Mus musculus: one gene and its partner. Each later gene encodes a partner of the first gene's protein in a complex. Links are inferred from orthologs where the notes say so. Each region holds a gene or a part of one and is shown in the gene's direction. Other genes may lie near its edges.

Region 1 (4,283 bases):
CATGACCCTTAGCCTCTTCCCTCTTCCTAGGAGCTGGTGTATAGACTTTTCTCTAGTGAGGCCGGGGAGGACTTTGGGAATTCAAAAGGACAGTGGCAGGTGATGAGACTTTTCATATCCCTTCCTCTCTACTGTTCTGGCCTTGGCTTCTGCTTTCTTCCAAATACATAGCAATCTTGGCTGCCGGCCTACGTGGGGAGAGGGAGAAAGGACCTGTTGTTTCCTTCCGATTCTCTCTGAAAATAACCTAATTGGAACACAAAGTTCCTGAAATTGTTGGCACCTCCTAGAGTTGATGTTCACTTTTCACTTGTCCCTGCTGCTAACCCAGTCTGCCCCATTTACCCTTCCTCTTGCCAAGGACCTCTGCCGGGGGAATTTGAGAAACTTTCAAAGTGTGAGGGAACTAAGCTGGTTCCAGGGCCTAGCATAGTCAACTGATGTAGCCCGGCACACTAGAGGGTTTGAGAGTTATTGCAAGGTGGTTAAGAGTTAGAACAGGGGCTGGAGAGATGGCTCAGCAGTTAAGAGCACTCACTGCTCTTTCAAAGGTCCCGAGTTCAATTCCCAGGAACCACATGGTGGCTCACAACCATCTGTAACGAGTTCTGACGCCCTCTTCTGGTACATCTGAAGACAGCTACAGTGTAGTCACATATAATAAGTGAGTAAATAGTTCTTCTGGTGCATCTGAAGACAGCTACAGTGTAGTCACATATAATAAGTGAGTAAATAGTTAAAAAATAGTAAATAGTTAAAAAAAAAAGAAAAAAAGAGTTAGAACAGCTTGTATATTAAAAGGGTAGGTGCCTCAATACCTTCGGAATGTTTATTACAGCCCCATTAATCTCTTCTGGATGCCTGATTCCCAGTAATCCAACATTCTTGCTAGTAACTAGGGTAAGATAATAAGGGTAGTGACCACTTCAATTCTGCAGTTGAATTTTAAAATCAAGAAGAACGGATTAGAGTTGATCCTATGCAGTTGATGAAGCAAAGGATTGGAGTGGGTGCCCAGTAAATAGTTGCTGCCTGAGGAATTAAATTCAAGGAGTCTTGAAAGGTGAGTACGTGTAAGCCCCGAGGAGAATCCAGGAACTCAGCTAAGTCCGGAGTATGAGAAGATGTACGTAAAGCAGAAGTGAGATGTAGTGCCAAGGTCTGTGTGAAGTTGGGGAGATCAGCCTGAGCCGTGCTTGGGGCGAAGGGATCACGATGTGGATGGAGACTGGTGTCATCTTGTGGAGAGAAAAGAGGCCTCGCAGGGTAAGGGGCCGGAAGGTCGGAGGAGGGGCTTTGAAACCTGGTCAAGACAAATTCACGTTTGTTATTCTAAGGGTTTCTGACCACAAGCTCCCCTTCCCAGACTCTTGCAGGAATAAGCGTTAGGGATAGACGGGAGTATTCAGCGAGGCTGGAGGTGCGAAAAGACTTCTCTGCATCTCTTTAAGAGGCGGACCGGGGCGGAGTCCTGGGTCACTTCCCCGCCGCCACACCCGCCCAGCGGCAGAAGCAGTTAGGAAGCTCTGCTAGCCTCACGGCCACGGGACGCCTCTCTGAACGGGGATCCAGGCAGGATTAGAGCTGCCTCACTGACTACAGGCCGTGTCGTGTCACCGTTTCTGCAGGCACCATGAGCCAGGACACCGAAGTGGACATGAAAGATGTGGAGCTGAACGAGCTAGAACCGGAGAAGCAGCCCATGAATGCAGCGGACGGGGCGGCGGCCGGGGAGAAGAACGGTCTGGTGAAGATCAAGGTGGCGGAGGACGAGACGGAGGCCGGGGTCAAGTTCACCGGCTTATCCAAGGAGGAGCTACTGAAGGTAGCGGGCAGCCCTGGCTGGGTGCGCACCCGCTGGGCGCTGCTGCTGCTCTTCTGGCTCGGTTGGCTGGGCATGCTGGCGGGCGCCGTGGTTATCATCGTTCGGGCGCCGCGCTGCCGTGAGCTGCCTGTACAGAGGTGGTGGCACAAGGGCGCCCTCTACCGCATCGGCGACCTTCAGGCCTTTGTAGGCCGGGATGCGGGAGGCATAGCTGGTGAGTAGGGTGTGCACCCTCATCCCTTGCCCCCATGAATCCCTCGTTTAATCGGGCATTCTGCTGCTTTTTTCCTTCCTCCTCGTCTTCTCTAGAACGCTGGTGATTCTTTACTGCAACCTATTTTTTTTGGGACGACTCCCTGGCAAAAATCCCCCCCCCTTTCTTTAAAAAAAAAAAAAAAAAAACGCTAGCCGGACCCCTACTTCTTCCTAAGGGTGCCTGACTCAGCACATCATCTTTCTCCTCTCCCCTCCCCCAACCACGCGGCCCTGAGCCAGTTCAAACCAGTTTCTGAAGTAATGTGTGAGACTCCTTGCGTCAGCTACTTTGTCTCATGATCCAACCCGCGTCAGAGGGAGTCGGGAAGTGGTGGAGAGAATGTGGAGGCTGGAGGCTTTTCATGCCCTATTGGTTAACCCAACCCTCTCCTCCTAGGTCTGAAGAGCCATCTGGAGTACTTGAGCACCCTGAAGGTGAAGGGCCTGGTGTTAGGCCCAATTCACAAGAACCAGAAGGATGAAATCAATGAAACCGACCTGAAACAGATTAATCCCACTTTGGGCTCCCAGGAAGATTTTAAAGACCTTCTACAAAGTGCCAAGAAAAAGAGTAGGTCTTTCTAAGGAACTAGAAAGGGTTTGGCATTCTGGCCCAGAAACAGGATAGAGTTTTTGTCTGATTTTTCTCCTAACTGGCTCAGTTTTTTTGTGTCAGGCACAAGGGGGAATATGTTATGATTTACACTAAAAAATGTGCTTCATGCGTGAGCGTAATTTTTATGTATTTATTTTGGTTTTGGTTCTCAGGTAGGGTCTCACCATGTAATTGGTTGGCCTGTACCTGACTACCATGACCAGGCCGGATGAGAGTTTACAGAGCTCCCCTGGTCCCGAGTGCTAGACTTAAGTGTGTCACCATGGCTCGATAAAATAAATGGCTTTTAAATGTATAAAGTAGATCCTATATATAGAAGAGATTCAAATGCTGCTTTAGAGTTCACTATAGAGGGCTGACAACGTAGCTCAGTTTGTAAGAGTGCTTGTCTAGGATCCATGAAGACCTGAGTTTGATTCCTCAGCACAACACAAGCAGCATGTGCCTATAACCCCACACTTGGGAAGGAGATGTAGGGGCTTATTTATCCTCAGGCAGCCCGCCCACATACACAGAACCCTGACTTCATGGGAGGGGAAAATAAGAAAGAAACCAAAACCTCAGTATGGAAACTTGTGTGTGTGTGTGTGTGTGGGCGGAGGAGGAACTGCTCTAGTATAAAACCACCTGAGGGCTTTTGTGGGTTTCCTTCAGATTCTGTGCAAACCGTATGTAGGTTCACCTAGTAACCTGTGTTCAAGTTCCTTGTTTCCTCTTCTTCCCCAAAGGAGTTCTCTCAACTCGTTATTTTTCTAGGCATTCACATCATTTTGGACCTCACTCCCAACTACCAGGGCCAGAATGCGTGGTTCCTCCCTGCTCAGGCTGACATTGTAGCCACCAAAATGAAGGTGAGGTTTTATGGCCGACAGCATACAGATGTTGGTGCTGTGTGGATTTATTCACAGCAAGCCTCCTGTGCACTGTGTGGTTCTCCCAAGCAGGAATACCTCTTCCCATAGCCGGAGGGATAGGCCCAGGTGCACGGTGTTCTTCTTGTTTCTGTTCTGACTGCTTTGTGTGTGTGTGTGTGTGTGTATGTGTTTCCTTTACTCTAGAAGTGAGGCTGTGCCAGGAAGGGAATTTCTCAGATGTCAGTCTGGAACTGGAAGTTTAATTTTTCTTTTTGTGATAGGAAGTCTTTTCTTTCTCTGTGGGAACCCTGACCTGACTGGTTTCCCAGTTTTTGTTTGATGTATTTGGAACTGAGCCCAGTCTGAAATTATAAGTACTAGAGTCTTACTGTGTATCTGGTATTTTATCTTCCCCCATATTTTATTATTTTTTAAAGAGTTAACTCCACTATGAATGCTTTTTAAGATTTGTTTTTATGCATGAGTGTTTGTGCACTATGTGCATGTTTGGTACCCCAGCACTTGGGAGTTTAAGGTTATCCTCAGCAATGGAGATCTAGAACACAAATCTCCCAGCAACTAGCAAGAGCCAAATTGGGTGATTATAGGAGTCTCCAGAGGCAAGACAGAAAATAGAAAGGGTATTGGACAGTCAAGAAAGGATATTGGATCCCCTGGAGCTGAAGTTACAGATAGTTGTGAGCTGCTGCTACGTAGGTGCTGGGAACTGAAC
Region 2 (2,614 bases), on another chromosome or scaffold:
GCTGTGTGCATGCCATGCTAGGGACAATGGGAAGGGAATGCTGAGAATCCTCGGTAACAAATGTCTGATCCTGGTCTTGAAGTAAAGAAAGCCAGGAGGCAGACTACATGAGGAGAGCTGGTAGGGCCTGGAGGGCAGAGGTCAATGTGACAGCTGGGTTCTAGCAAACAGCAGAGAAGCCTCAAGGCCAGGCTCTGGCCCTTATCCATTTTCTTCCCCGTGCCTAGGCTATGCTTCTCTGGAGCCCGAGAGGGACACTTACCCAGCTTCCTGGCCATGATTCATGTCAGACGCTGCACCCCAATCCCTGCCCTCCTTGTCTGTGTAAGTTGGGAAACCCAACCAGGTAGTGTACCTAGCAATGGGGGTTTGGGGGGATAATAGCCAAAACTTATTCCTGCCTATGGTAGATGAGCCATGGAGGGTGGGGATGGGCTGGGACCCACCTGACCTCCTGACCTGAGTGGGAAGGCCCAGAGCAGCCTCCAGGGATGGCCAGAAGCAGGTGGGAGGCCAGCTGTCAGCCCTCGGTCCTCTCCCAGTGCGGGGCCACAGCGGTCATCATGCTCGTGGGTGACACATACACACTCATCAACTATGTGTCCTTCATCAACTACCTCTGCTACGGAGTCACTATCCTGGGCCTGCTTGTGCTGCGCTGGAGACGGCCGGCACTCCACAGGCCCATTAAGGTGAGGCTGGAAATAACAGGGCCATCTTCATCCAAGTTGAGCACTAGAGGCAGGTATAGGTGATGAGGACAATGGGCTATATAGCATTTGCAGAGTGTAGAGCTTTCCACCCTACACTCTCTGACATGTTATCTCCTCTAACCCCAGGAAGCAAGTGTTTTTAATATCCCCAGTACACAGACAGGGGCAATGAGACTAAGGTCACAGAGGCTGCCAATCACAGAGTCTGGTATTCTCATGATCCCACATGAAAGGGTGACAGAGAAGACTCCCATCTGCATATGGATCCTGAAGAGGGCCTGAAATTTGAAGCATGGAAAAAAAAAACAGTTGAGTTGCAGCCAAATGTAAACAGCTTTCTGTGTATAACTGTTACAGACAGCTCAGCACTGCTCAAATAGACAGCCTTAGCAGTTTGGCCAACTGGTCAACCCAGGAATTGCTCTCCAGTACACTGGGTAGCTACCAGAGGGGCCAGCATAGGGGCCCCATTCCCAAGAGATGGAAAAAGTGCTTCTAATCCCCTGGGTGGCAGGAGAACTAGGGTGTTGCTCCCTGGTGCTCCTGTTCACCCTTTCTCCGACAGGTGAACCTCCTCGTTCCTGTTGTGTACTTGGTGTTCTGGGCATTCCTACTGGTCTTCAGCTTCATCTCGGAGCCCATGGTCTGTGGGGTCGGCATCATCATTATCCTCACTGGGGTTCCCATCTTCTTCCTGGGAGTGTTCTGGAGAAGCAAACCAAAGTGTGTACACAGATTCACAGGTGAGAAGGGTCTTGCCACCATGCCTCTTGTAGGATCCCACCCCAGAGCCGGGGCCTTCTATCAGCCTGGCTGGTGACGCAGGACCCAATGACTTTCCTCAAAGCTTCTTGCTACATACACATGTGGCTAGGTTTCATCTGCAAAAGAAGCAACTCCCATCCCAAGGGAGGTATCTGGAGTTAGGGTCATCCCTGTCTTAAAGGATTGCTCCCCTCCTGGCCCCCGCCATTGTCTATCTGTCTGTCTTGTCTGTCTGTTCTTAGAGTCCATGACACGCTGGGGCCAGGAGCTGTGTTTCGTGGTTTACCCCCAGGGCTCCCTAGAGGAGGAGGAAAATGGCCCCATGGGCCAGCCCTCCCCATTGCCCATCACGGACAAGCCCTTGAAGACACAATGAGACCTTGTAGAGACTGGAACAGCCGATTCTGTTTACATGTTGTTTATTGAGAAGGGGGTTGTGTTTTGTTTTGTTTTCAAAAATTTTTTTTCTGCAAAAAAAGAGAGAGAGAGAGAGAGAGAGAGAGAGAAAGAGAGACCCAACCCTTAGAGGCCTATTGTAAGGGACTGGCCACTGGGGTCGGGCTTCCTGCCTTAGCAATGCCCTGCTAGCTTCTCCAGAAATGCCTGTAAATAAACAGGGCTGGTTGTTGCTGTGTGCAAGGGGAGTCCGTGGAAACATGCCTCAGCGCGGTATATGGGCTGCTAGCTGGGAAGGTGCCATGGAAAAGGTTTTCAGCCCTAGTGGGTTTTGCTGGTTGAACTGGAGGCTGCCCAGAGGAGACAGTGAGGCTCCATCTACGACTCAGCGATCCAAGAGAACCCAGAAATCCCTAAGTGGGACTACTGTCCTCCCCCAAAATCACCAGAGTGAATGCTACAACTTCTGATAGCACAGCCCTGGCTTCAGGTGGGGAAACTGAGTCTCTGAGGCAGGACAGGATGGTTGTTTCCATTGTCAGCTGGTGCCTTGACTTCTGTCTCCTGAGAAGGCATAGACTGGCCTCTCTTGCGGTCATCCTATCTCATATACTTTTAGCCTTACCATAATGCTTGGGGACTAATGCAGCCTAGCCAGGCCCATGCTGCTGCCACAGGCACAAGGCTGGGGCAGAAGCCACTGGGCCATCTTCCCCAGGGACCCTGCATGGAAGCACTCA

The links.
Region 2: the proteins of Slc3a2 (region 1) and Slc7a10 are in contact, whole or in part, in a cryo-EM structure (PDB 8WNT), measured with the Homo sapiens proteins. The link is inferred for Mus musculus from reciprocal best matches to the Homo sapiens genes SLC3A2 and SLC7A10. Residues at the interface, in NP_002385.3 of Homo sapiens: Phe161, Thr162, Gly163, Leu164, Lys166, Leu169, Leu170, Val172, Ala173, Trp178, Arg182, Leu186, Phe189, Trp190, Trp193, Met196, Leu197, Ala200, Ile203, Ile204, Ala207, Pro208, Arg209, Cys210, Arg211, Glu212, Leu213, Arg534; in NP_062823.1 of Homo sapiens: Leu147, Val150, Phe151, Asn153, Cys154, Pro157, Ala160, Val163, Leu164, Met166, Ala167, Met170, Leu171, Trp174, Ser352, Val359, Glu481, Thr484, His485, Trp486, Gln488, Glu489, Leu490, Phe492, Val493, Val494, Tyr495, Gln497.

Annotation. Positions count from the first base shown.
Region 1 is NC_000085.6:8,711,098-8,715,380, reverse strand, and holds the start of Slc3a2 (4F2 cell-surface antigen heavy chain), read left to right. Parts: upstream 1-1,483; 5' UTR 1,484-1,628; coding exon of another isoform or gene 1,629-1,633; coding exon 1,634-2,039; intron 2,040-2,477; coding exon 2,478-2,651; intron 2,652-3,452; coding exon 3,453-3,547; intron 3,548-4,283. UniProt on the Homo sapiens protein: Acts as a chaperone that facilitates biogenesis and trafficking of functional transporters heterodimers to the plasma membrane.
Region 2 is NC_000073.6:35,198,998-35,201,611, forward strand, and holds the end of Slc7a10 (asc-type amino acid transporter 1), read left to right. Parts: intron 1-227; coding exon 228-324; coding exon of another isoform or gene 325-346; intron 347-542; coding exon 543-692; intron 693-1,278; coding exon 1,279-1,456; intron 1,457-1,720; coding exon 1,721-1,854; coding exon of another isoform or gene 1,855-1,904; 3' UTR 1,905-2,114; downstream 2,115-2,614. UniProt on the Homo sapiens protein: Associates with SLC3A2/4F2hc to form a functional heterodimeric complex that translocates small neutral L- and D-amino acids across the plasma membrane. Preferentially mediates exchange transport, but can also operate via facilitated diffusion.